Diceros bicornis minor: one gene and its partner. The protein of the gene in region 1 purifies or fractionates together with the protein of each later gene. This does not show direct contact. Links are inferred from orthologs where the notes say so. Each region holds a gene or a part of one and is shown in the gene's direction. Other genes may lie near its edges. The genes, in order: GOLPH3 and FAM20B.

What was found.
Region 2: the proteins of GOLPH3 (region 1) and FAM20B purify together in Homo sapiens (affinity purification with mass spectrometry; 3 studies listed by BioGRID and IntAct, with this or other methods). This does not show direct contact. The link is inferred for Diceros bicornis minor from reciprocal best matches to the Homo sapiens genes GOLPH3 and FAM20B.

What each region holds. Positions count from the first base shown.
Region 1 is NC_080759.1:36,126,091-36,140,988, forward strand, and holds the start of GOLPH3 (Golgi phosphoprotein 3), read left to right. Parts: upstream 1-8,640; 5' UTR 8,641-8,886; coding exon 8,887-9,108; intron 9,109-14,898. UniProt on the Homo sapiens protein: Phosphatidylinositol-4-phosphate-binding protein that links Golgi membranes to the cytoskeleton and may participate in the tensile force required for vesicle budding from the Golgi.
Region 2 is NC_080743.1:87,898,434-87,913,663, reverse strand, and holds the start of FAM20B (glycosaminoglycan xylosylkinase), read left to right. Parts: upstream 1-8,116; 5' UTR 8,117-8,201; intron 8,202-8,475; exon of another isoform or gene 8,476-8,873; intron 8,874-8,903; exon of another isoform or gene 8,904-8,960; intron 8,961-12,329; exon of another isoform or gene 12,330-12,421; intron 12,422-15,230. UniProt on the Homo sapiens protein: Responsible for the 2-O-phosphorylation of xylose in the glycosaminoglycan-protein linkage region of proteoglycans thereby regulating the amount of mature GAG chains.

The sequences.
Region 1 (14,898 bases):
TGCGCTCCGCTGCTGGCGGCCCAGGTTCGGATCCCAGGCGCGCACCGATGCGCTGTTTCTCTGGCCATGCTGAGGCCGCATCCCACATACAGCAACTAGAAGGATGTGCAACTATGATGTACAACTTATCTACTGGGGCTTTGGGGGAAAAAATAAATAAATAAAATTAAAAAAAAAACTTATTAAAAGAAAAACTTTATGAGGAACTGCCAAACCGTTTTCCAAAGCAGTGCACTACTTTACATTCCCATGAGTACAGGATGAGGGTTCCAATTTCTCCACTTTGTCCACACACTTGTTAATATATTTTTTTAAGGACTTCTTTTTTTTTTTTTTTGGTGAGGAAGATTGGCCCTGAGCTAACATCCATTGCCAATCTTCCTCTTTTTGCTGAGGAAGATTAGCCCTGAGCTAACATCTGTGCCCATCTTCCTCTATTTTTGTGTATGGGATGCTGCCCCAGCACGGCTTGATGAGCGGTGTGTAGGTCTGCACCCGGGATCTGAACCCGAAAACCCTGGGCCGCTGAAGCAGAGAGCGTGAACTAACCATTATGCCACTGGGCCAGCCCCTGTATCTTTCTTTTTTTTAATAGCCATCCTTGTGGTTGTGAAGTGGTGTCTCACTGTGATTTTGATTTGTTTCCCCTGATGATGTTGAGCATTTTTTCATGTACTTATTGGCCAGTTCTTTATTTTCTTTGGAAAAATGGCTATTCATATACTTTGCCTATTTTTAAATTGGGTTGTGTTTTTATTATTGAGTTATAAGAGTTTTTTATATATTCTAGATACAGCTCCTTTATCAGATACATGATTTACAAAAATTTTCTCCATTACGTGAGTTTTCTTTTCATTTTCTTGATGATGTCCTTTGAAGCACATTTTAATGACTTTTTTTGTTTGTTTTTCTGCTGAGGAAGGTTGGCCCTGCGCTAACATCCGTGCGCATCTTCCTCTACTTTATATGTGGGACGCCTGCCACAGCACGGCTTGATAAGTGGTGCATAGGTCCGTGCCTCGCATCCAAACCTGTGAACCCAGGGCCACTGAGGCAGAGCACGCAAACTTAACCACTACGCCCCTGGGCCGGGCCCAATGATATTCTTTTAATGATGTTCAATTTATCTCTTTTTTTCTTTTGTCACTTGTGTTTTTTGTGTCATATCTAAGAAACTATTACATAATCTAAGATCATGAAGATTTATGCCTATGTTTTCTTCGAAACATTTTATACTTTTTAGGTCTTACATTTAGATCTTTGATACATTTCAAGTTAATTCTTTTTTTTTTTTGAGGAAGATCAGCCCTGAGCTAACATTGGTGCCAATCCTCCTATTTTTGCTGAGGAAGACAGGCCCTGAGCTAGCATTTATTGCCAATCCTCCTCTTTTTTTTCCCCTTTTTCTCCCCAAAGCCCCAGTAGATAGTTGTATGTCATAGTTGCACATCCTTCTAGTTGCTGTATGTGGGATGCCGCCTCAGCATGGCTGGACAAGCGGTGCGTCGGTGCACGCCCGGGATCCGAACCTGGGCTGCCAGTAACGGAGCGCGCGCACTTAACCGCTAAGCCACGGGGCCAGCCCCTGAGTTAATTCTTGTATGTGGTGTAGGGTAGGGGTTCAACTTCATTTTTTTGTATGTGAATAAACAGTTGTTCCTGTACCACTTGTTGAAAAGACTATTCTTGGGGCTGGCCCGGTTGGGCAGTGGTTAAGTTTGTGTGCTCTACTTCGGTGGCCTGGGGTTCGCAGGGTCGGATCCCTGGTGCAGACCTACACACCACTCATCAAGCCACGCTGTGGTGGCATCCCACATACAAAAAGTGGAGGAAGATTGGCACAGATGTTAGCTCAGGGTCAATCTTCCTCACCAAAAAAAAAAAAACACCACTATTCTTTGGCCATTGAATTGTCTTGGTACCTTTGTTGAAAATCAACTGACTATAAATGTGAGAATACATTTAGAATGTAGTCACTTTTTTTTTGGTTTTAAAGTCTATTTTGTCTGATATTAATATAGCCACTCCAGCTTTTTTATGTTTGCTGTTTGCATGATATATATTTTTTCATCCTTTATTTTCAACCTATTTGCATCTATGGCATAATAAATTACTATAAGTGCACTGGCTTAAAACAACACACATCGGGCCGGCCCCGTGGCTTAGCGGTTAAGTGCGCGCGCTCTGCTGCTGGCGGCCCGGTTCGGATCCTGGGCGCACACTGACGCACTGCTTCTCCGGCCATGCTGAGGCCGCGTCCCACATACAGCAACTAGAAGGATGTGCAGCTATGACATACAACTATCTACTGGGGCTTTGGGGGAAAAAATAAATAAATAAATAAGTTGAAAAAAACAACAACACACATTTATTATCTCACAGTTTCCATTGGTGGGGAGTTTAGCCAAGCTTAACACCATCCTCTGCTCAGGGTCTCACAGGTTGTAATCAAAGTGTCGGTTGGGCTACATTCTCATCTGCAGTTTGGGGTCCTCTTCCAAGCTCATTCATGTTGTTGGCGTACTTCAGTTGCTGTGTTTCTAAAGCTGAAACTATCAGCTCTTAGAGGCTACCTCTCTCCATAAGCAGTTCACATTATGGCTGTTTTCTTCTTCAAGAGAATGTCTTGAGAGTCATCAAGAGTTGTCTCAGCTGACTCAAGTCTCTGTCCTTAGGGAAGGGTTAGATCTGCCTGATTATACTCAAGGGACTGCCTGATTATGCCAGGCCCACCCAGGATAATCTTTCTTTTGATTAACTCAAAGTGAATTCGTTAGGGACCTTAATTACATCTGCACTATCCCCTCCCTTTTTGCCATATTCTAATAGTTAGAAGCAAGTCACCAATTCTGTCCGCAGTCAAGGAGAGGGGATTACACAAAAGCGTAGATACCAGGGCAGCAAGAATCATGAGGGCCATGTTAGAATTATACCTATGACAGATGGGGACAAGGGTAGAAGTGTAACTTCTCAATGTATGTGTCTTTTATCATTTTGATTTTTGAAGTATGTGAATTTATTACTTATTCAAGAATAAAATAAAAATTTAAATCTTTGAAACTTTGCAGTTGTCTCAGTGGATTTTTGTCTTTTATGACAAAGACCACTTTGTGTAATTGATTTTACCCTAAAATCATTGAGTCATTATGAGGTCCTGGTTAGGAGCATGGACTCTGGAGCCAGGCTGTGGAACTTTAGGCAAGATATTTAATTTCTTTGTGCCTCAGTTTCCTTTTTTGTAAAATGGAGCTAATTATAGCACATAATCAGGATATTGTGAGAACTAAGCGAGCTAGTATATTAGCATCACTCAGACGCTGCTGCTTGATAACACGAAATCTTAGTGGCATACAAAAATAAGCATTTATTTCAACAATCCTGAGGTGACTAGAATGGCTCTGCTGATCTCAGCTGGATTTGGCTAGGCTTGGCTCCGGACTATGGATTCCTTCTGCCTGCTCTGTTCTCATTCTTTTGGGATTAGCAGACTACAGCAGAAGAAGTGTTTTCACCACCATGAAAGAAGCTCTTCTCATAGCAGTAGCCAAAACCACAAGAGGACAAGCACATCTGCATACGCCTACTTCACACCTCTGTCTGCATCACACATCAGCTAACATCCTATTTGCCAAAGACAGTCACGTGGCAATTAGCAAGGTCAAAGCTTGGACCAAGCCCAAAGTCAAGGGGTGATGAAGCATACTCCATCTACTACAAGGCCATGGCAAGGATGTGGTGTATAATATGACTACAGGGGAGTGAAGAGTTGTGATCTATATAGTTCAATCTTTATTAACCTGTAAGACACTTACAAAATAAATGCTCAATAAATCTTTGCTATCATTGTACTAGATTGAAAAAAAAAGAAATAATATTGTTGAATGCCTCTGAAAGGTTTGCTGGTTATTTCAATAATACTGCTATGCTTCAGAATAAAGCTGGGATAGGAATGTAAAATGGTACAGCTACAGCCATTCTAGAAAAGAGTTTGGCAGTTTCTTAAAAAGCTAAACGTACTTACCATGTGACCCTAATTGCACTCCTGGGTATTTATCTTGGAGAAATGAAAATATGTCCACACAAAAACATGTACATGAATGTTAATAGCAGCTTTATTTGTACTAGACCCAAATTGGAAACAGCCCAAAAGTCCTTTAATGGATGAATGAGTAAACAAACTGTGGAACATCCATATCATGGAATACTACTCAGCAATAAAAAGGAACAAACTATTGATACACAGCATTTGGATGGATCTCAAGAGAATTTTGCTGAGTGAAAAAAGTCAACCTCAAAAGACTACCTAGTGTATGAGTCCATTTATATAGCATTCTCAAATGATAAAATTATAGAGATGGAGAACAGATTAGTAGTTGCCAGGGGTAGGAGATGAAGGGGGGACAAGTGTGGGAGATGGATGTGACTATAAAGGGGTAACATGAGGGATCTTTGTGGTGATGGGAAAATTTTGTGTGTGTCTTGATTGTGGTGTTGGTTACACAAATCTACACATGTGGTAAAATTGCATAGAACTACACACACACACATACACACACACACACATACACACATATAGGTGCATATAAAACCCATGAAATCTGAATAATGTCTGTGGATTGTACCAATATTCCTTTCCTGGTTTTGGTATTGTACTATAATTATATAAGATGTTACTGTGACCAGGGAACCAGGCAAAGAAAGGGTTACTGAGGATCTAGTCAACAACTAACACATCTGTCACATGTTTTTCAGACAAGAAGAAACTATGTGTTTTGTTTTGCAGAAATTGATGTCCCCATTTTGCAGATGTTGCTATCTTGCAGAGAAACTCACACGTTTGCAGCAAGACCCCTGCAAAATGTTCCAGCTCCAAGTGTCCTAAAGTTACCTTAATTCATTAGCACTTTAAATTCTCCTCCTCTGGGAGGGTCCAAACAGCCATTTTCAGATCATGCGATGTATGTGATAACATGTTTACCTGCTATGCATGTGACCTAAACAAACACAGTTGTTACAGAGTTATTACAAATAAACTTGTTATATTCTGCTCTCTTGTATATAAAGTCTCCACTGGCAGTCAGCTTGGGGCCACACGGCTTTGGGAGCTAAATCTTGTCTTGTCCGTTGCTTGCACAAGCAATAAACGTTTTCTTCACCTACTTTTGCTTTGTTTATGCTTTTCGACCCCATGCTCACCATTGAGTTTGGTTACATTACCATTGTGGGATACGGGTTAAGGGTACACAAGACCTCTCTGTACTTATTTTGCAACTTCCTGTAAATCTATAATTATTTCAAAAATTTTTTTATTAAATTTTGAGTTATGGTGAGAAAGGCTTCTCTTCAAGGTTATAAAAGAGTTCACTCATAGTTTTCTTCTGGTACTTTTATAGTTTCATTTTCTAGGTGTTTTGAAATTTTTATCAGATGAAAACAGAAAGCCCCTGTACATCCAACTCCCTACACAACAGCTCCTTTTGGAAGTTTCATATGCTCCTCAAAAACTCAACTGACATAAACTCATGCAAACTTGGTCAGTGCCCAGTGGTCCCTATCTCAGTGAATGTCTTTCTCATGCACTCTTACACAAGTCAGAGGTGGGTGTCAACCTTAAAAACTTTTCTCCCTTATATTCCACTGATTCCATAGTCAATCTTCCATTGATTTGTGTCAATTTTACTAAGTATCTCCTGAAAACATTCACATCTCACAGTCTCTTCTTCCATGATCAAAGTTAAGTTACCATGAGGTCCTATGGGACTACTGCAAAAACTAACTGGTTCCTGTATTCATTGTGACCACCTCCTTGGTACATCTGGTGAGCTTTTCAAAATAGAAATCTAATATTACACACCCATGCATTCCATCCTTCCCCACATAGAGCATTTAAAAGTCCCTTTGATGGCTTCTCATTGTATTGGTTGAAAACAAGACCAAAATCTTAAAATGGCCTCACAGCACTGCATGATTTGACCCTTGTCTGTTACTATCGCTTTTGACAACACTCTCCTCCTCAGCCCAGCCAAAATGGTCTTCTATTTGATTCTCCACCATCCCATGATCTCTCCTTGCCATAGGGCCTTTGCACATGCTATTTGCTCTTGCGAATGACCAACCCCAATTTGGTTTAGTTAACTTCTGTTCATTCTTTGGCTTACTACTTCCTCAGAGTTGCTTTCTTTGAGTCCCGGATAAAATATAAGATTCTTATATATCTGAGAATACATGCTCTCATAGTACTGTATTTCTTCTGTATTCAAATTTATACGTTAATTATTTATAACGTTTCTCAATTTATACGTTAATTAGTGTGGTATCGGTGAATATCTGTGCCTTCCACTAAGCAGCCTCATGGATGCTATGACTGTGTCTCTTTTGGCTCCCTATGATATCCTCATTGCTTAGCACACTGCCTGGCATACAGAAAATATGTATAAATATAAATATTTGTTTAATGATTGAATTAAGGACCTAGGTTACAATGCAGGCTTGCAATTTGTTAGATATGTTATGTTAAGCAGATTACTTAACTTCTCTGAACCTCAGTTTCTTCACAATTAAGATGAGTGTTTTAGTCTGGGACTCCCAGAAAGCAGGGTTTAAGACAAAGGCTTTTGTGCTACTATTTTGTTAGGGAGTGCAACTCTTGGGAACAGGAAGGGAGAGGGGGAGTGAGGAGTGAAGGGAGGGAGAGCCATACTAAGAATGTGTTGTTGAGCTTGTTGCAGCTAAGTGCCACTGAGAAGTTGTATAAAGGATCTCAGGGGCTGGCCCGGTGGCTCAAGCCTTTAAGTGCACGCGCTCTGCTACCTCGACTGGGGTTCCCTGGCCCAGATCCCGGGCGTGCACTGATGCGCGGCTTGGCAAGCCATGCTGTGGCAGCGTCCCATATAAAGTGGAGGAAGATGGGCACGGATGTTAGCCCAGGGCCAGTCTTCCTCAGGAAAAAAAGAGGAGGATTGGCAGATGTTAGCACAGGGCTGATCTCTCCACAACAGACTGTTATGACCTAGTCACACCTGCCACATTCTATGCATTTAAAGAGAGTCACTAAGTCTGGCCCACCCTCAAGGAGAGGGGAATCAGGCTTCACCTCTTGGGAGGAGGAGTATCAGAGAATTTGTTGACATATTTTAAACCCACCAGGGGAGGGGATGGGGAGAACAACTGGTTGAACAGGGGCAGGGCTGGAAGGAAGATTTTCACTACATCTATCTGCATACTCCTTGAACTATGTATTTGACTATGTTAAATAATAAATTAATTACATTTCCTTTAAAAAGAAACATTTTTAAGCTATTTGGTAAAGAACTGGGAGAGACATGAAGGAAAAAAGAGTTGAACAGGATGTGAATGGGGGAAATTGGTTGAGCTGAGGTTGACCTTTGCCCATAGACAGGAAAAAGGGAGGGACTACTTTGTGCTCACCCTGCCCCCTTCTCCCCACTCCAGGAGACTTAGCGTTCTCCCTTTCCAGGGCTTGGGGTGGTGATAGCGAGCGGCTAGTAGGAGTTCCGGATAATGGGTTTGGGGAGGGGGAAGAACTGTAGCCAGAATGTTCTATGGAACAGTTTTACGGCGTGCGTTTACCATTTATCGTTTATTATGGCTTAAGTCCTGTTTACAACAATATATTTTTCCTATCTAAACCATTCTGTAGCCACAGCCTGTGGTCTTTGTTGATTTTAAATAATATTGGATGGCATACAATGCTATTGCTGCATAATGTTATACGCTCCACCCTTCTGGCCCTCCAACCCCCCCCTTTCAAGTTCCATATCTATTCTTTAACATGCACAAACGGTCAAGTACGCCAAGAGGATTTAACCTAGCAATTACATTGAGAGAGATTTAATGTGTACAAAGACGTGGCATGAAACCTAACAGGTTTATTGTATCTATAAAAAGTTTGTTCAGGTCGAGTGTACTGACGTGGGCAGTACAAACTGTACTCGCGGCGCCCCGGTCACTTTACAAGGCGGGAGGCGAGGAAAAAAGTTTCGCGAACAAAACTATTCAATTTGTTCTAACCTTTCTTTTCATGCAGTAATATACCCAGAAAACACTAAAAGTCCACTTTCAAGCCATTTAAACGCAGTCGCTCCTTCGGAAGGGTCAGAGGCTACGCGCAGAGCGCGCGCCCTCTCCTCGCCCCGTGGCAGCGAACAAAGTCCTTCCTGTGGCTGTGGGGACCTGGACTCCAAGCCGAGTGCCTGGAAGCCCGGCCGAGGCCAGCCCCGAGGATGCTGGCGTCTGGGGTGCTAAGGACACAGCTCGAGGCCGAGCAGAGGGCCCCCTCGCGAGGCCACGGCTGCCCCGATTCGTGAGGGGCCTCACCAGTCTCCGGCTGCAGCCCCGGGTCTGGGGGTGGGGCGGAGGGGGAGGCGGCCTGAGGAAGGACACGTCACCGGACGGAGGCCGCGGCGCCGCTGGCGAAGGGATGCCAAGCCAGGGGCGAGCGCCGGAGGAAACCCGGGCCTGGGGAGGGGGTCGCGGTCCTCCGGCCCCCGCCCTGGGACCCGCCCGCCGCTTCCGGCGCCCTCCGGGTCCGCCCCGCGCTCGCGGTGCCACATCCTCCGGTGACGTCAGCCGGCGCCGCCATATTGGAAAGGCGCCGCCGCCGCCGCCGCCACCGCCTCCGCCTCGGCGCTCGGGCTGCCTTGGGGGCCGCGACCGCAGGAAGGAAGGGTCCTGTCTCCCGCCCCGGCGACGGCCGGCTCGCCCCCCTCGCCGCCACCCGTCTCCCCATGACTACCCGCGGCCCCGCTGCTGACAGCTGTCCCCCCAGCGCCCGGATTTAACACGGAAGCCCGGGTCGGGGGCCGCGGGGGGGCGAGGAGGGAGACCCGGTAGGTCCCGCGTCCCTCTCGGCCCGGCGCCGGAGCCATGACCTCGCTGACCCAGCGCAGCTCGGGCCTGGTGCAGCGGCGCACCGAGGCCTCCCGCAACGCCGCCGACAAGGAGCGGGCGGCGGGCGGCGGCGGCGGCGGCGAGGACGACGCGCAGAGCCGCCGTGACGAGCAGGACGACGACGACAAGGGCGACTCCAAGGAAACGCGGCTGACCCTGATGGAGGAGGTGCTTCTGCTGGGCCTCAAGGACCGAGAGGTACGGGCGCGGCGGGCAGGGCGGGGGCGGCCGGCGCGGGCGCGGGGCCGGGCGCCAGGCGGGAGCCCGGCCTCGGCTCCGCGCGGCCGTCCTCCGAGCTCGGCGCTCGGGAGCGCACGGCCGGCCCGGTGCCTCCAGACCCTCCGCGCGCCGATTGCTTGGATGTTTCCTTCCACCTCTCCCAGTCTTGTCTGTCCTGTCGAGTCCCTGGCAGTCTATATCTTGCTTGCTTTTCCCGCGTGTTTCACCTGTGTAGACCCCAGGGTACGTTTGCAGACTGCCCGTTAGCGTGCAACGCCTGGAACCACCAGGGCCCTGAACTGCTGGGTTTTGCAGGTTTTAGGATTTGGGAGGGCTCCACGGATCTGCTTTTTGGGGGCTTAAAAAAACAAAACAAAACACTTAAGGTGTACTGTTTGGAATTTTGCAAAAATTTCGGTGCAGTGGTAATGGAGGCAAAAGTTATTTTACTGATAAAAGTGAGGCAATTCTTAATGAAACCGCCTGGAAAATGACTTTCTAGGTAAACTTGCTTTGGGTGAGAGATTATTAGAATTGCTTTACGTTTTATCAGTCGGCTGTTCTCGAGAAAGTCTTACTATCTTAAGGAAGGGTTTTTCCATGGGGTACTCGAAATGCTAGATTTGTGATTTAATGAAAGGCCTCAAAGCTTTGGGTAGGTTCAAGTTGGAATAGATAGTTTGTGTTCTGGCTTTGAAAACGGTTATTTTCACCCCAGTGTCTTGTGAGAATTTTCACACATAGAGAAGTTGGGAAAAAAGAATGCTACAGTGGACACCTGGGTGCTCACTTCTTAGGTTCTATAATTAACATTTTGCTGTATTTGCTTTACCACTTATCCACTCATCCACAAAAATGATTATTTTTAAAATCAAACTTGAGGACGTTTAGAAAGATGGATGGATATTCTATAAATTAGGTACCATGAGGTAGTTTCAGAAACTTGTTTTATCCTAGTATGGAAACTACCGACAGCACATTCTGAGTCACACACAAATTTAAGTTTTGTCTGTCTTGATTTTTAAGAAAGATTTCCCAACTCACAAAGGCGGGCAAAAAAATTTCATCCTTATGAAACAACTCTTATTTCACTGAAACTTGTCAGATATAGGCTAAAGTTTATCTTGATAGAAATGTCTAGAGTATTTGCAATATCCAGGTTTCCTGTTTGCTCAGATTTTAATAACGATCACCTTGAAAAAAGTGGAAGTCCCTCTGGCTGTGAAAAGGGCCCAGTATCTGTTTATTAATCACTGAGTTATGATGAAAGCAGGCTGTGTGTGAAATTACTTTTTTTTTTTGGATGAAAAAGCAAACGAGATGTATAATGTCTTAGAAATGTGATTTTTAGAAAGTTTTCAATTTGCCATTTTAGGCTTCACAATTTAGAATCTTGGTAATAAACATTTTTCTTTGTCTTTATCTTTTTCCTTTGGGAAAAAAGTTACATTTTAGAGAATTAAAAAAAGCAAAATGAAGAGAACAAGTCATTCATATTCTTGAGTGAACATTTTGGTTTATAGTTTTTGATGCTTTTCTATATGGATACCGTACTGTGTGTAAAACTAAAACTTAAAAAAACCCCTAAAACTAGCCTTGGCTTTCTGAGTCACATTAAGTGAGGAATTATTGTGAGAAAGTACCTTTTTGCTTTTTCAAGTATGTGTTACTTTAGGTGTTTAAGCTAAAGCATATTAACATGCTATTTTTCTGTGATTGGTTTTCATGAAGATGATCTAAAGAATTATTTCTCAAAGCTTGATGGTATTCACAAAGTTTAGACAATTTACAGTTCTTTGGTGGCAGGTAATTGAAACCATCTGTTGTATTTATTGCGTGTCATGGGTCACTATACTTTGCCATGTCATGGCCAACATCCAGACACTAGCTAATTCTGAGCATTTTTTGCTGATTTCAACAACTACATAGAGAAATTTATTTTCCCCTTTTGCAAGCAAGTCAGGGAGTTGGAGTGGAGAGGGGTGAAGTTGAGATTTTGCGTTGCTTTAGATTTTGGTTTTAGGGAATAGCCTATATAGTTTTTCCTGTCCTCACATCATTACGTACTAATCATCAGTCCTGTCAACTCATCTACTCATGTGTTTTTCTCCCTGGGAGATTCCCCACCCCCATCACTCTTTAGGGGCAGGAATTACTCTCTCACCTACAGTCTAGGCATTTAGGCTTGAATATTGTTAGATTTTAACTTAATTTGATATTAAGTAGTTCCGAACTTTAGCCGTAGTATATATGTTAGTACATTCACTGCTTTAACTTTTTATTATTTTAACTTAGCATACATATTTGTAATATTTGGGTGCTTTTAAGATATTTAGAAGCTAAACTTTATGGTTAGGCAGGTCATTAATGCTGGACACATTTTGTGTATATGTGAACTAACCTTATTTGAAATCAATACAATCAAGAAAAAATTTTAAGACATTGTGAAATGGTGGAGTTAATTTTACTTTGACTTTTTAAAAAAGCTGAGACTCATTCTGGTTTTGTAAAAATATTTTTTGTTGAATAATAAACCTACAGAAAAGTGCACATATTATATGTGGTGAATTTTTACAAACTGGACACACCTGTTAAACCAGTGCCTAGAGCAAGAAACAGAAATGACCAGCTCTCCTGAAGCCCCACTTGATCTCCTTTCCAGTCACTGCCCAGTCCTCAAGGGTCACCACTAGCTTGACTTCAGAATTCAGCATAGAATGATTCTGCCCATTTTTGTACTTTCATTTGTGTCTTACTTTTGTTTAGCATTGTTGGTGAGATTCATCTACATTGTGTGAGGTTGTCATCGTTCATTCTCATTGTCTTATCAACTTACTTTTAACACGTTGATAATCTACAATATTTAAAACGTTACTTTGACTTATATCCTGAATCTGCTTGTTCTCCCCTTTTCCCCTTTACTGAATAGAAGGCTCAGAAGGTCTGGCTTCAGATTACACATTAGGGGTGACTCTAAAGTCATCATGAGAGAGTGTTTCTTTTTTAATTTTAAGTACACATTTCTGATAATTTTCCTTTCTGGCTTTTATTAAAACACAGATGCCTGGGCCCCTCGGGATTCCAGTGCTCAGTATGAGTGGAGCATCAGTGACATAGATGTTGGAGTAAATCTTCTGAGGCTGCAGCAAGGATGGCAGGATAGGTTTAAACTTGAATTCAACTTCCAAATAATTAGCAAGACTTCTATAATCTCCCTTGTGTTTGAGGGGGAGGGACAGCAAATGAGCCAGGAATTTTCCTTTCCCCAACTATTTGATTTTTCCATAGATAGCTCCAGTAGTCAGCGTCTTCAGAAGACCTCATTGAGAATTACTGGTGTCATATGCTTTTAAATGTCTTCATTGGTGGCAAATCTTAGTGCTTTAAGTTTGGATTTGATTATTTTAAATGGCTGGGTGTAATTTAGAGTGTGCCTGTGGAACAGCAGAAGTGGAAAGAGGCATGTGTAGTCCTGGCCCGAGGTGTATCCTTTGTTTTACATATCATTGCAGCTCTCTAAGCCTCAAAGTTCTCCTCTAAAATGGAGAGAGAAATAATCCTTTCCCATGGTGGTTCTGGTTGGACTCTTGCAGACATTTACTGTTTTAGTCTCCACCATGTCTGCCCCCGGTTTTGTCTTGCTTTTAAGGCGTTCCCCATTGTGTGGGGCCCCAGGGTGTCCTATTGAAGCATTTACCCCTTCCCTCTTGTGGTGCAGCCAGACCTAGACTTGTCCAATCAGATGTTTTCTCCTGGGGCTTTGGGTCTTGAGAGCAGAACAGGCTGTGGGGGTTTTTCGAGACCTCCTAGAGTGTGGAAGTCCCCCCTTATCCACGGTTTTGGTTCCCCCTGGTCAGCTGCAGTCCAGAAATATTAAACGGAAAATTCCAGAAATAAGCAATTCATAAGTTTTAAATTTCGTGCCATTTTGCATAGTGTGATGAAATCTCACTCTGTCCAGAATGTGCCTCATCCCTTTGTCCAGTGTGTCCACACCGTATGTGCTACCTACCCCTTAGTCATTTAGTAGCTATCTTGGTTGTCAGTATATGGTTACAGTATATTGTTATAATTATTCTATTTTATTATTAGTTATTATTGCTAATCTCTTACTTTGCCTAATTATAAATTAAACTTTATCATAGGTATGTATGTACCTATCCCAAAAGGGATTGGTTCCAGGATTCCCCCCTCGGATACCAAAATCTGCAAGTACTCAAGTTCTGTAAATAAAATGATGTGTTATTTGCGTATAACCTATACAGATCTTCCTGTATGCTTTAAATCATTTCCAGATTACTTATAATACCCAATACAATGTAAATGCTTTGTAAATAGTAGTTATACTGTATTGACTAGGGAAAAGTGACAAGGAAAAAAGGCTGTACATGTTCAGAACAGACAACCATTGTAGGCCTTTCGATCTGCGGTTGGTTGAATCCATGGATGCGGAACCCTCGGATATGGGGGGCCCAAGTGGGTAGGAAAAAACATAGTATATATGGGGTTTGGTATTATTGCAGTTTCAGGCATCCACTGGGGATCTTGGAAGGTATCTCCTGCGGATAATGGCGGGGGGACTACTATAGTTTCAGTGTGTGGATCAGACTGTCCTCTGACATGGTTCTTTGAGCTTTTTTCTCCCTAGCCCATTGATGCTGTCTTTTCCATCCAGATTTTCTAGGCACTTTTTAATTTTGTAAGCCTCAAGAGTTGTCAAGTAAAGTCCCTTTTTCAATAGCCAGAGTCAGTTACTAATGTTTCTAATGCTTCCAGACGAGAACGCCAATGCAATAATTTCGCTCTGTATCTTGAAAAATAAGTATGCTTGAGCTGAATAATACACACTTAGGGTAAAATAGTTAAGTTTAACTAAAATAAGGGAACTGACTTTTATGTGGCTTTTAAATTGGCTCCAAAGATGGGTCCCAAAGATATGTTCCATTTTTGGAATAAGTTTCCCAAGGTCACTACTTTGAAATACAGGGCTTATCAAGATGTGTAACTTTGGGGCCGGCCCCGTGGCTTAGCGGTTAAGTGTGCGCGCTCCACTGCTGGCGGCCTGGTTTCAGATCCGGGTGCTCACCGACGCACTGCTTCTCCGGCCTTGCTGAGGCCTCATCCCACATACAGCAACTAGAAGGACGTGCAGCTGTGACATACAACTATCTACTGGCGCTTTGGGGGGAAAGAAAATAAAATTAAAAAAAAATAATTGCTAAAAAAAAGATGTGTAACTGTGTGTGTAAGGAAGGTTGGCCCTGAGCCAACATCTGTGCCCATCTTTCTCCATTTTGTATGTGGGACGCCGTCATAGCATGGCTGGATGAGTGGTGTAGGTCCATGCCTGGGATCTGAACCCATGAACCCTGGGCTGTGAAAGCAGAGTGTGCAGACTCAACGACTGTGCCACTGGGCTGCCCCTGGTTTTTAATTTTTATTTTTATTTTATTGAGGTCATGTTAGTTCATAACATTGTGAAATTTCAGTTGTACATTATTATTGTTAGTCACCATATATATGTGCCCCTTTAGCCTTTATGCCCACCCCCCAACCCCCTTCCCCTCTGGTAACCACTAATCTGTTCTCTTTGTCCATGTGTTTATCTTCCACATATGAGAGAAATCATACAGTGTTTGTCTTTCTCTGCTTGGCTTATTTTGCTTAACATAACGCCTCAAGGTCCATTTTCCATACGTGCAGTGGTATGCACCATCTCTGTATATCAAATCTGTTAATGAGAAATTCATTCAACAAATATTCAGAATT
Region 2 (15,230 bases), on another chromosome or scaffold:
AGAATGGGAAAAGATATTCCATGCAAAGAGTAACCAAAAGAGAGCTTAGGTGGCTATACTAATATCATACAAAATAGACTTTAAAACAAAAATTGTTGCTAGAGACAAAGAAGCACATTTTATAATGATAAAGGGGCAATCCATCAAGAAGATATAACAATTATAAACACACATGCTCCTAATAATAGCACCCCAAAATAAATGAAGCAAAAACTGATAGAATTGAAGGGAAAACAGACAATTCAACAATAATAGTTGAAGACTTCAGTACCTACCCCACTTTCAGTAATGGATAGAACAACTAGACAGAATATCAACAGGGAAATAGAGACTTGAACAACACTATAAACCAACTAGACCTAGAGATCTGTAGAACACTCCACCCAACAACAACAGAATGCACATTCTTCTTATGTGCAATAGGAACATTTTCCAGGATAGTTCATGGGTTAGGCTATAAAACAGGCCTCAATAGATTTAAAAGAACTAAAGTCATACAAAGTATGTTTCATAACCATGATGAAGTGAAATTAGAAATCAATAACAGAAGATAACTTGGGAAATTCACAAATATGTGGAAATTAAACAACACACTCATAAATAACCAATGGATCAAAGAATTAATCATGAGGAAAATTAGAAAATGAAATGCAAACAAAACTTATAAGATGTAGTTAAAGTAGTGTTTAGAGGGAAATTTATAGTAAATGCCTCTATTTAAAAAAGAAGAAAAATCTTAAATCAACATAAGATGAATGGATGTGCAGGGTCCTAAGGCAGCTGAGAGATGGGGCACTTCGTTTTTCAGTAAAGATGACATTTTAAGGGATGAGTAAAGCTGGAGGAAGGTGGGAAGGGAATTCCAGACGGAACAGCTTGGGTAAAAGCATACAGGCATGAACTAGCATGGGGTATGCAGGAGAACTCGGCATGCTTTAGTATTTCCAGAACGTAAATTGCGTGGAAAGAGAGGCAGAGAAGGCAAGTGGGTCCCAGCCCTGGAGGTTTTGTATGCTCTATCAAGAACCTTAGGCTTTATTCTCTGGGTCACTGAAAGGTTATAAGCAGGTATATAATATGGCTCAGATTTCCTTTTAAAAAGATCTTTCCAGATGTAGTTTTCTACATGGATTTTCTAGAATAGATTGCAAAGGGTTGATGTGGGAAGGTTGGAGACAGAGGCCAGAAGAGAGATCACTGCCATAATCCAGGAGGGAGAAAAAGGAGTTTGAACACAAGCAGTGGTGGTGAGGCTGGAGGGAAGAAGCTGGATTCAAGGAGTCTTTAGGAGCCATGACTGGCAGCTCTTGATACTGACTGGAGGTGGCAGTGAGGAAGATGAGTCTAGGACAACTGGTGTTTCTGGCTTGGGTGGGTGGTGGTCACATTAAATGAAGACCAGAATACCAGAGGAGAAACAGGTTTGAGGGTGTCTTGGGCATTGCCTTAAACTGTTTTTCTTTTTCCTCCTTTTCCTGTGCGTTGCCATGGAGGAAATACTACCGTGGTATTGCCATCTCTGCCAGGGATTTGCTAACCTCTTTGAAAACCCTTGCACACTCCCCTCATGGGTCCCCTGCACTCCCTTCCCTGAGAGACTTCCCTGCCCATATGTCATGCCTCCCCATTTCTCCCACAAGGCCCCCCAGGGACACACCAGGCACGGCAGCAAGGTGTTGGCTCCTTTCTCCCTGGGCTCATAGTCCCACTGTGTCGAATATCTTGTTCTCCCCAGTTCTGGGCCACCTCCCTGTTTTATGAACATCTACCTTCTAGTATGGAGAAACTGCAGGCCTGAGCACCAGATATCCCCCATGCACGTGTTTTATTTGGCCTGCCCTGTATTTAAAATGTATATATTCTTAAATGTAAATGCCTTTGAAGGACAGACCAGTTTCTCTGTTCCCTCACCACTTCTTATTGTCTCACTGTTGGCCTGCTTTGCTCATTTCCCTTCATGTTGGCAGCCACAGGCTTCCAAATGTTTAAGCTTCACTGGAAAGAGAGATGCAGGGAGTCTGGTCCACCAGGGGCAGCATCTTGACCAGCCAGGTCATTGGCTTCCCTGTCACATCTTTCTCGCCCTTACTCACTGCAGGACAGGGGTTTGAAGAGAAATGACTGGTTTCCTGTAGAATGTCTTCTGAAAGACCAATCTTACCTCCCCCTCAAAAATAAAAACAATTGCCTGTATATCAGACTGAGTCATATGAAATTGCCGATATTCAACTAGTTTTGCCCTATAAAGATGGCAATTTCACATAGTTCAACCTATTAACATGATCCTGGCTTAGTCACTAGTAGAACAGTGGTTCTCAGCCTTGGTCGCAAATTAAAATAAGCTGGGAGCTTTTTAAAAAATACCCTTGTTAGGACCTCCCCCTAAGAAAATTAAATTAGAATCTTTGAGGATGGTGGCAGGCATAGGGATTTTTTTCATTTTTTTTATTGATGTCATAATAGTTTATAACGTTGCGAAATTTTAGTTGTACATTATTGTTTGTCAGTCACCATATAAATGTGTCTCTTCACCCCTTGTGCCCACTCCCAGCCCCCATCCCCCTGGTAGCCACCAAACTGTTCACTCTGTCCGTGTGTTAGTTTATCTTCCACACATGAGTGAAATCATGCGGTGTTTGTCTTTCTCTGTCTGGCTTATTTCGCTTAACATAATACGCTCCCAGTCCATCCATGTGGTTGCAAATGAGAAGATTTTGTCTTTTTTTATCGCCGAGTAGTATTCCATTGTGTATATATACCACAACTTCTTTATCCAATCATCAGTCAAGTGATGCTTGGGTTGCTTCCACTTCTTGACTATGGTGAATAATGCTGCAATGAACATCGGGGTGCATAAGCCTCTTTGGATTGTTGCTTTCAGGATCTTTGGATAAATACCCAGTAGTGTGATAGCTGGATCATAAGGTATTTCTATTTTTAATTTTTTGAGGACTCTCCGTACTGTTTTCCATAGAGGTCGCACCAGTTTGCATTCCCACCAGCAGTGAATTAGGGTTCCCATTTCTCCACAACCTCTCCAACATTTGCTATTTTTTGTCTTGTTGATTATAGCCATTCTAATGGGTGTAAGGTGATATCTTAGTGTTGTTTTGATTTGCATTTCCTTGATTAGTGATGTTGAACATCTTTTCATGCGCCTATTGGCCATCTGTATATCTTCCTTGGAAAAATGTCTGTTCATGTCAGGCATGGGGATATTTTTAAAGTTCCTGTGCAGCCAGATTGAGGACTACAGCTTTGGCACACCCCTGGGTCAGTCACTAGAGAGGCTCAAAGAATCTTCAGCTTAACTCCTTAGCACATTACCTGTAGGTGATAGGAGCTGAGTTTGAAGAACCCAGAACTTCCATGTGGTTGCAATGACCTCATGCAGTAATTAATGCTATTACTTCACGCATTAAATATGAGTTAATAAATTAATGAGTTAATAAAAACTAAAGAGCTTCCATCACAGCAAAAAAAAAAATTTGTATTAAATGTGCATGTAGTACCATTCTAAGCATATTACAAAATGACCACCTTGTGGGAATCAACAATCTGGAATTTGCAATATTGTCTCTGCCAAACCCATTGAAGAGCCCCTTGGCATTAGAGAAAGACACAACGAGCAGGAAAATGTTCAAAGACATGGCCTTGGGCATTCATGCAAGAGCATGTACCACAATAAAGTGTACATTTTGGGGTGATTAATTAAAATGACTGCAGCCTACATGGCAGTTAAGTGAAATACAGCTTTGAGAACTACTACTCCTTTGCATTCTTAGTAATTCTAGGAGTTTCACTTTCCCCTTAATGTATTTTTCTTTTTGCTTTTAATGAGCAGATTAAAAAAAAAAGTAACTGAATAAATAGATAAATATATTTTCAGAATAAAAGAGAAAATAGCCCATATTACATTTTGGGGTGATGAAAATGTCCTAAAATTAGATTATGGTGATGGTTGCTCAACTCTGTAAATATAATAAAACTATTGAATTGTACACTTTAAACAGGTGAGCTTTATGGTATGTAAGTTATATCTTAATAAAGCTGCTATTTTAAAAATAAACATAATACTAAGGTGGAAACAAATAACTGAAAGATTTCCACCACTTTCAGAATATGCATCCTGAATTTCTTGGCAGAGAAGCTGGGTGTGTCTGTGTGCTTTATAATGCTGTCCCTGGGACTTGAGAGGTTTGCTCAGACGGCATTGACAGAGATGCCACGTGAAGGGTTAAGTGGGCAGTCCTGATGCTGTAAGCAAGGGATGGGCTAGGAGTAGCTCTGCAGAGCCTGTGGCAAAATGAAAGAAAGGAGTCTGCCCAGTTGGGAAAGAAATGCAGAAGCAGGTCCACAGAGAGCCCCATGCAGAGAAAAAACCTGCCCAAGTGCAGTGGAGGCAGAGCACATGCTCCTGGAGGACACGTGCGCTCCTTCACTCACTGATGCTCTGTCACCCTCTCCCAGGCTCTCAGCACCTTGGAACAGGGTGAGCTCTCCTACAGGTCCCTTCAACTTTCTTGATGTGGAATTAATTAGTTTCAGTAGGATCCATCAATGTGGGTGTATTCTCGTGTGTGTGTGTGTGTGTGTGTGTGTGTGTGTGTGTGTGTGTGTGTTTTGTGTTCGTGTATGCAGGCACCTTGAGACAATACTCCCCTTATACCTCGGGATTGCTGAGCTGTTATTTGAGTCCTGGGGCTTGACAAATTGGCAGATACTTAGAAATTCCGAAACAGTCTAAGGAAAACACAATGACGAAGGGGCCAAGAAAGAAACTTCAAGGGCTCCTGATTTCCCATGTCTGCAGGACCTATTCTCCTAAAACTTCTCTTTTAAGTGTTGTGTTTACCATGGGCCATGTGAGCCCTACGTGCTAGTGTAGTACAGTGTTGGCACTACAGAAGATACAGATGCAACGAAAACACTCTTTCAGCCCCAAAGGGTTTACACTCCAGGGGAAGGGGTCAGACATATCCCCAAAGACGTCAATACAAACCATACCGCAAAAGAGGGACAAAGTACTGAGTCTTAGAAGCCCAGGAAAACACACACAGTTGGAAAGGTCAGGAAAGGCTTCAACAGCAAATGGCCTTTGGGAGATATGTAACATTTTCACAGGGGTGGGGTGAGGGGGGCCCAACTGTGGAAGTGGGGGAAGGGGGTGCCCTCAGACAGTAAGTGAGCCCTTTAGGGCAGAGGGTCAGGAATTAGCAGAAAATGGGCCTGGAAAGGTGGACTGTTACTGGAAATGCCAAGCAGAGAAGTTGCCATTAAATTCTGTAGGCTGTGGGCAAGCCACTGGAGGGTTCTGCACTGGGGCTACTAACCAAGATTCCTCTGCTGAAGACGTGTGTGCACCGCCCTCGGCTGGAGGGGGACAGCCAAATTCCTGTTCTGCTTTCAACTCACGGCACTTCAACACTTCAGTGCAGAAAAGGTAGTCTACTTGAGGCACTCCACGGGTGGAAATAAAGATGAAATAAAATCAGTCTGTGTCTTTAACAGCTTTGCAGTTTGGGAACAGAGAAGAGAGGAAAAGGGGGAGATTAGACAAAGATACCTAGAACCACAATACATCACATGAGTTGCGAAAGAAGCATCATGGAAGCCTTGGCAAAGTGCTCAGACTTTCCCAATGGGGGCTCTGCCTGACCTCCCATCCTATATCTCAATACTAGACTGTGAGCTGCTCAAGGATGAGGACCAGGCCTTCTTTGTCTTTGCACAGCCTGGTCTAGTTCAGTGTCTGGCACTGAGTAGACATCCACTGAAGGAACGAAGGAAGGGAGGAACACAGGGAGGGAGGGAGGGAGGAAGGAAGGAACAAATTACCTAACTTTGGTTCACATTGTTCGTCTCTTCTTCCACCCATGTTTTGCTCACCTCAATCCTCCCTCCCTGACAATACCAGCCCACACTATCTTCCTGGACCCTGATTCTTTCAGTGATCACACAGTCTGTGCTGCATAATTTAAGTCCCCCGTATTCCTTGCAGCTGCTTCCTGTGTGCTAGTCATGTAAACTCTTTGAAGGCAGAGTGCCCTTCTTAAATGATTGCATCCCCTACAACACCTAGAATACAATGACTATTGATTGGGTGGAGAATAAAGCCCATTACAGGAGGAGAGGGCAGAAACTAATATCCTGGAGTTTTGGGCACTGTGCTGGTATTGGGCATACATTCACAAAGAGGCTGGATAATGTGGCCTAGTGAAGAGAAAACTGGAGGACAGAACAATTTTGCTGTCTGAAAGCCCTTGACACAGAGGCCCTGAACCTTTGGCTCTCCTTCTCTGAGGACAGAAGAGGAGAAAGTGTGTCTGTCCTGCAGCATGTGAGGGGCATGGAAGGATTTGATGGATGTAAAACTAAGCTCTGGAGTGGGTTGCCTAGAAGGCCATGAACCCTCCTCTCTGAATGTCCTTAAAGACAGGGGGGATCACTAGGAAGCTGGCAGGATGTGCTGGCCTCCTGAGCAGTGACAGTGGGACAGTCCACCCTCACTGTCCTTGTTAGAGTTACAGGCAAGAAAGGAGAGTCCCTTGGAGGTAAAGCGTCTTACAGGAAGTGTTGATTTGCCCTTTTGCTTTATGATCTCCTGATGTAGTGAACAAGGTTGAAGGAGATTAGCTGACTGCAGGCAGACCAATGTTCCTGTGTAGAGAAATAAGGAAGACTCTCATTACCATCCAGCTAATTTTCCTAAGAATTATGTGTTCCGTGGTCAGAAAACGACCCCCAAAGCTACGTGCAGAAAAAGGCTGATACAACTCCTCCTGCATTTGACCGTGTGCTCCTTCTTGCAGTGATTAATGTTTTCTGCAGAGGGGCTGCCTCCCTAACTAGACTGTTGGGGGCCAGTGTCAAGCCCAATTATTTCTCTAGGATCTCCTGATAGTACATGCTCAATAAATACTCACAGGAATAATAACTAACATTATACAATAATTTACAAGTACTGTCCCAATCTAGTCCTCACAACAACCCTGTGAAGTAGGTACTATGATTAACTCCCGTTTTCCAGATAAGGAAATCGATACTCTGAGAGGTTAAGTGGCACACTCAATATCATGCAGCCTGTAAGGAAGAGTTCTTTCCACTACACTCTGCTGCTTAAATGAACTATATAGCCTGAAAAAAGTGTCAGCTCGGTCTTTCCCCCATCACATATCTTATCCCATGGAGCAATGTGCATTATAATATTTCAGGGAGAGGTATACTAAGTCCAAGCTTTGTATATGGTGAATAAACGAATGGATGTATTATACAGCAGATGCTCTGTATGCCTTCAGTGGAAAGGAAACAACTTAAGGGGTGGGAGAATCTTTCATTCAAACTATTTATAGGGAGTCTACTGGGTGTCAGGCATTGGAGACCCAGACACAACTCTCCTGCCCTCATGGCACTTACAGTCCATTGCAAGAGACAGATGTTAAGCAACTATTACAGTAAACTAACCACAGTTTTGTTAAATGCTACTAAACGTAGCAGGGAGCTTTGCTCTGAATCCGAAGGAAGAGCGATTTGCGCTCACTGTAGGAAAGTTGGCCTCTTTTAGGCAAGGAGGATACATTTAGACAGGCAGAAGCAGAGGCAAATTAAAAGGGTAAAAGAAGGAAGGAAATTGCTTCTCACAAACAGAACTTGACCTATGGGACCCCAACTCTCCAGTCCCGCTGCCTGGTTGCCTACCTGCTTAAGAAAATCGGGAAGGAAAAAGCAACGGCAAGACGAAAGAGACAGGTCACTTTATGTAAGCTGGTGGGGCGGGGCGGCAGAGAGAAGGCGAGTCGTGAGCCGGCGCCGAGAGTGTTAACCGGGCATGGCCCTGGACGGAAAGGGTTAAGGGGGGCGGTCCAGAGCGGGCCCGGTAGGCCCGCCCATCGGAGGGTGAGGGTGGGGCCTCGCAGGAAGAGCCCTTGGATTGGTCGCGAGGAAGGCGTTACGCTAGGACGTTACCAACAGTCGGGGGCCGCGAAGGCGCGGGGTGGGTGTGGGAGCGCCGGCTGAGCGCGGGCAGAGGTGGCCGGGGGATGGCCGGGCCGGGGGAGGGCGGGAGCTGCAGTGGTGGCGGCGGCGGCTGGGGGCGGTGAGCGCGGCGTGGGGCTGCCCCTCCCCGGAGGCGGCAGGGGCCGCCGGGGCCGCGCCGCAGCGCACCGCGCGGGCGGCCATGGAGCGAGCCTAGGGCCCGGCAGGTGAGCGGCGTGGGGGCGGGGGAGGGTGCGCGACCCCCGCCCTCGGCGCAGCGGGCTGGCGGGCGGGGCGCGGTGCGTGGCGCGCGTCGAGCGGGGCTGCCTGGGGGCGGGGCGCCGGTGCCCTGAGCGGTCCTCGAGCGGCCGCGGGCGGCTCCTGGACGGTGGCGCCGCTCCCTCAGAGAACCGGCCCGGGCCGTGCTCCCTGCCTCGCTGGCCCCGAGGCGGTTCCTGCGGGCGGTCGTGGCTGAGGGGACGTGGCCTTGGCCGCCGCCTCTACGGCCAGCCTGAGGCGCGGGCCTTACCTGGGGGCGCGTCAGGCCGCCCGGGGTCCTTTTAGCGACCAACCCTCGCGCCCGGACGCCGTCCCCTGAGGCGACTAGCCCCGGTGCCCACCTCGGGTCCTGCCGAGCGCCCGCGGCGGCGGCCCGGGGAGGATCGCGGGCTCACCTCGTAGCCGCGAAGCGCGAGTGACCTGCAGGCCCGAGGCGGGAGGCGGGGTAGTTCTGCCCAAGGGTTCGCGGTCGCTCGGGGTCTTGCACCCCGCGCTCGCCGTCGGGCCAACTTAAGGAAATGATACGGTTGTCCACAGTGGGTTGCGCTTCAGATTTCATTTCCGGGTGTGATGGCCCGGCGATTTAAGAGCGAACCGAAACGTTGCCATTAATAATGAATGTGAGCACTTGTCAAGCTGCGTCCTTGGTTGCGGGATCTGACAAGAGTTTCATTCTAATCAGGCTTCTGTTACCTGGAAGTCTCCTGGTAGGCAGAGAAGGGACAGAAAGATGTTGGAGAGAAGGTGGAGGGGACAGGGCATGGTTGGTGGTTATGGAATTATTAGTACTTTAAATGGCCATATCATTATTTGGATGGGTGAGGAGTTTATAATTTGGGAAAATGAGAGATGCTTGAAACTGACTTGAGTTGAAGACCAGGTATCAATATCGTTCCCACCCAACCAGTTTCCCTCTGGAAATGTGATTTCTCAGCTTGAAAAGAAGGAGTAGTAGTGTGGGATCTTTTAGCTTTTAAGTTGTAGGACTTTATAAATATGTAATCTGGTAGTTAAGATTGCTGTTTACTAACTATTCCTATCCTCCATATGTTGTAAATTAATGCATACATTTCATTAGGGTTGATTTTTTTAAGGTAGGTTAGAGACCTCAGTGTGCTCATGTATGGCAAACATTTCTTGAGTTTATGCAGGACCTTTGAGCTAAGCCTTAGAGCATTTCCACGTATATTGTTTTTCATCAAGACATGTTTTTGAGAAACTGAGGTAAAGTGTTAAAGATGCTAAATTATTTGCCTAGAGCCAGTCTAAGGTAGATTTAAAATTAAATTAATGTTTTGTGTTAAATTAATAACTTTTCTGAAGTTTATGAAAATGTTGGACTTTGGCCTCTAGAACCATACAGTGGACTCAGTCAACAGGATTGACTGTACTTACCAGAGTTTGAAAGTACTTATCAAAGGAGAAGAAGGCACAAGCAAGTAATTCAGACTTGCAGCCTCGCTCACAGTAAAGTGCAGTGATAGAAATGGAGGTAAAAGATGGTCAAATCTTGGAGCTCACAGCTTTCCTTCAGTGTGGCTGGTGAAAATGTGACATTGATTTGTTCAGTTTGTTTCTCTGGAATTAGTAGGAAAATAGTGAAGGGGAGGAAGACTATACCCACTCTGGGTCCTTTCTGGCTGGGCTACAAATTAAATTGACATAAGACTGAATAGCAGGAGAAAATCAGACAAAGCTTTATAACCTGTATACATGGGAGAAACCAGGGAAACTGAGTTTCTTAACAAAATGGTGGAGGTTCTCTTCTTAAATAGATTTAGATAAAGACAAAGGAGGATGTTGAGGTGCGGGGGAGTCAGTTATGTGTGATTACCAGAAAAGCACAGTAAGGTTATTATGCAGCCTCACCTTCTGCATTGATAAGTTTCTAGAGATGAGATCATCTCCCCCTCCCCCACTCTTCCCAGTACAGAGAGGGAGATACTTTTACAAATGGAGATTTCCCTTACAAATTTAAATGTTTGTTAAACAGAACTTTGATAAGAATGGACTTAGCAAGAACCCTCCTATCTGTCGCTTTTCGGAGTAAGTTTGGGGGAAAGTCAGTTTCTTTCAGAGAAAATCAAGGTAAAGAGACGTGTTTTGAGGTGGCCAATTTTCATCTTGCACAATAGCTATGATTTGGTTAAAGAATGAAAACACATGCCTTGCTTTTCGTTCTGGCTACTTTGAATTAGGGAACAAACAAATTACTTTTTCTATCATCTAATCCTTTATGTCATAGAATTATTTTATGTTGAGTTGATAATTCTTTGATTTTTAGTCTATTCTCTTGATTTCCAGTTGTAGACGCCAACTCTTTCACACAGCCTTAAAGCTTCTGCTTTTTATCTTTTCTGAATTTTAGAATTCTAAGGGAAATTTTCTTTGTTTCTATTACTTGCAGGGCAGACTTCAGCTTCCTACACTTTGTGTGACGATCATTTCAGTGGTGTAAACCCTGAAGCCAGATACTTCAGCTCTTGACTTGAGAACTTTTTAAAATAACAGCCACAGTGGTTGTCCCTTGGTGATTGCTACAATCTCATAATAGAGGTAGAAAGCTGCTCTTTGTATTCTGTGGCCACAGTTACAAATAATAAAAAGGAGACAGTCTTCTGAAGCTGATGTCAGGTCACTCTGGGATTAAGTGCCAGGTGGTTTTGTAGATTGGAGTGGGAAGCACAGTTACAATGAGACACTACAGTTTGTTGTAATAGTGATGATGTACTTTTCTCTCTGCACCTAACAGTGCATAGCACATAGTAGGTGTGCAGGAAATATTTGCTTGTTGAATGAACTATTGGAAAACAGTATGAGGGAAGGGGAAATAGTCTAATGCATATACTCAATTGTTTAGTTCTTTTTGTAAAAAAAAAATAAAAAAGGCCAAGAAAATGTGTTTCAGATTCCTGTTGAAAATATGCTATTGCAACGATTATCTGTAAAGGGTGTTACTTGCTGGAGCTGCCTTGAGATTTGATTCTGTGATTATATGGTGTTCTAGCTACCCGCAGCCTGGGAGCAGCCTCTGGTGCTCTGGTTGGGTGCAGCTTCACAGACTTGCTCCTGCAGCCTTCTCTGGCTAGGCTAACTGAGCAGTTGGATTGATAGTACTTTTGCATTAATAGAAGAACTAGAGCTCTTGGTAATGGCCACACCAGTATCATTGAACCTGACCGTCCATCTTCTCCTCCCTCATATTGTGGGAGGGAGAGGGGAGTTATCCCTCCTTTAAGTGCTTCTCCAGCAGCTCCTCATTCCACACCTACGTATCTCTCCCTCTTTTCCTTCCTTGAGCTGCCTTTATAACCCCCAAGAACTAATGAATTCATTAGCACAGACCTGGGATACAGAACAGAAGACCTTGCTTTGCAACTGAAATCAGCTTCTGACCAACTTATAATGTCCTGTGACTGCTAGAGCCGGCTAGGAAAGAATATAATGCAAAGATCTCACTTGTGATTTTGTCTTTCTTATCCAAAAGCAAAAGAGGAAAGGCCTAGCTCGGGACCTGATGAGTCTTGGGGGTGCATCTATCATCCCAGTATGAGATAAGAAAGGGAGGCTGATGCAGAAAAAAGATACAGAGCTTTGGTGTTTGTTTGGGGGTCTGTACTTTCTGGCAAGGTAACACCTTATGGAGGGAAGGTGTTAATTTGGGTACATTATCAAAGGAGGTCAAGGAATAGGAAATTACGAATGTGTAACAGAGCCCAGTACAGGGTGAGACAGTGATGTCTATCATTCAGTGCTCTCAAGTGCTGTCTTTCTGCCTTGTGTATATAGCAGTGCCTCATTTATCTACTATTGTTAGGCAATAAGGTATGAGCGACAATTCTTATTTTAGCTATACTTTTTGTGGAAAAAATTCTACATGTATTATATGCTTTGTTTGCTTTTTAAACAATATAGTGTAACCTTTCTTTATTGACTCGAGGTTATGATTACTGGCGTCCATTACCAACAGTAATTGAGCAGGGCTTTGAGGTGATTGAAATACATAGGTTGTTTTCCCCCTCTGCTTTTTTAATTCTTGCATCTGCTTTTAATAGTCAATCTGTCTCTTCTTTCAGAAGTGGGAAAGCTGTACTTGTGCTGTTGTTAGTGTCCCTGCTGCCCTCTTTTAAATTTGCAGCTTCTGATCTTCTGTGGAATAGCAACCCAGGTAACTCTGCTTCCTGAAATTGAATGTAAAACAGCTAAATAGGCTTTGTAAGGGTCTGCCTGCTCTTCTCTATTAGTGGATGAACTTTGTGAGCACTATTTTGGCTGCCCAAAGCCCTTTTGTTCATTTCTTGTTTCTCATCCTTGGTTTATTTATTTATTTTTATTTATTTATTTTTTTTGTGAGGAAGATCAGCCCTGAGCTAACATGCATGCTAATCCTCCTCTTTTTGCTGAGGAAGACCGGCTCTGAGCTAACATCTATTGCGAGTCCTCCTCCTTTTTTTCCCCAAAGCCCCAGTAGATAGTTGTATGTCGTAGTTGCACATCCTTCCAGTTGCCGTATGTGGGATGTGGCCTCAGCATGGCCGGAGAAGCAGTGCATCGGTGCGCGCCCAGGATCCGAACCCGTGCCGCCAGTAGCGGAGCGCGCCCACTTAACCGCTAAGCCACAGGGCCGGCCCTCATCCTTGGTTTAGATAATGAACTTGCACTCTGTATAGGTGTGTTTATGTTCCTGTGGTTCTTTTCTGTCGAAAAAAGAAAATAATATGGAAGTACTAGTGTTGGTTCTTGTTTCAGAAAGCATTGCCAATAATACTTGAAGATCTGGTTCCAGCCCTGTCTTGTATCATTCTTGGGCAGTGTCTTGGACCATCTGCAATCTTCATCTTAGCATTTTCAGATTGTCTTTACTCCCAGTCCCAACCAATGCTAGGAATCAGATTGGCACTAGCAGTTACCTTGAGAGGTGGAAGCGGAGTATAAAGAAGGCAGCAAGTGAAAATTGAGTATATAAAATTGGTATACATATTTGATATTTCTGCCTTTTTTACTGTATATCTGAATTCCTTACGGGACTTAGTTTCCCTATATCTGTAAAAAGTGGCCATCTTTAAACCAAAGAGCTGAAGAAATTCTTAGAACTGTAAAGGTCTCTCTCCCTGGCTCTTCACTCCTTTTATTCAACAAGCATTTATTGAGTACCTCTTATGTGTCCTGCACTGTGCTAGCTTACTTGGAAGTACAAAGAGGAAACATCTCCGCTGTTCTGAGGAACTCACAATATAGTAGAGGAGACAGGCATGCCAAAAAATACATATGTGTATGTGCATGTATATGTGTGTGTGTGTATTTATATTCATATTATAACAAAAGGATCATGCGTGGAGCCACTCAGCTAAAATTCAGCATAGACCTGGTTGGGGTTCTATTATTTCTAAAGTAATCTGTGGCCTGTCACCTTGACACATCCTAGAACATAAGGTTAAAAATGTGAGGTGTTAGGGCCGGCCCGGTGGCGTAGTGGTTAAGTTCTTGCGCTCCGCTTCGACAGCCTGGGGTTCTCAGGTTCGGATCCTGGGCGTGGACTGATGCACCACTTGTCAAGCCGTGCTGTGGTGGTGTCCCATATAAAGTAGAGGAAGATGGGCACGGATGTTAGCTCAGGGCCAGTCTTCCTCACACACACAAACAAAAAAAGTGAGGTGTTATTGTTGCATAAAGCTTATATACCTTTCCAAGAACTGTAGTGAACTGAACAGTAAAGATGGAAAACATATGAAAATCTGAAGGAGAATGTTATAGTATTTGAAATTCCATATTTCCACACAACATAGGAAATACATTCTATAATACAGCTTTAAATGGTGATTATATACTGACAATTGAGCAGTGAAATACCTAAAACTTAGGAAGGTTCATTATACCTGGCCCATTTGAAACAGAATGCAAATTCTTAGGCATTTTCAGAAAGTTTCTAGATCAGTGAACACTGCTTCTGTTGGTTTTTTAGAACAAATTGCACTAGCAGTATGAGCTGAAGATTTTGTTTTCATTTTTCAAGGAAGAGGGTTATAGGGTTGCCCTAAATCAAGGTTTAAATGGGACAGATTGCAGGAAGTGAATTTTTTTCAAAGAGGGAACAAACGCTATTTATTGCCTGTTTTATTTTTACTCTCACCCCCAGGAAAAAAGGCTGCCTTAATGCTTCATTAATGCCTAGTGATCGTTTTAGTTAGCTTCCGTCACAGGGAACTGTTAGAGGATTTCATGTAGGGGATTCTGAGTTTACAGATATGAATAAATGTTTAAATGGAAGTGAAAACAGTGAGGGAAATGTAACACTCAGACCAATTTGGACTATATGGGAATTAGATTTTCTGTACCTGTAAGTTAAGATACTCTTAAGGCTTATCTTAAAAGCTTTGGAACATGCAAAGCTGTCATCTTTAAAACACAGAGCTAATTTTTCCAAACTGAAGAATATTGTCAAGGGCATTCTATCTGAGCCTTTTTCCTGAAATAGAATAAGTTCATGCTTCCCATCTGTTTCAGTTACATTAAATGTGGTAGAATTGAACTTTGTAGAGAAGAGAAACAGGTCGGTCAAATTAGTGATGTTGGGGAAGAGGGAGAATCCCCTTCTGCCCTTTCCTTTAAGGTTCTTATGGCTGGCCAAATAATTAAAAGACAGGTTAGCAGGAGAAAATAATACTAAGTTTAATAACATGTATACATGGGAGAAACCACGGAAACTGAGTTTCTCAACAGAATGGCAGAGATTCTCATCTTAAATACCAACTTCAGCTGACGACAAAGGAGGGTGTTGGGGGTGGGGGGAGTCAGTTATGGGAGATTACCAGAAAAGCACAGTAAACAAGAATAAGGTTATTATGCAGATTTAAGGCCTCACTTTCCACATTGATAAGTTTCTAGAGACGAGATCATACCCCCTCTTCCCGGTACAGAGAGGGAGATACCTTTACAAATGGAGATTTCCCTTATAAATGTAAATGTTTGTCTGGCAG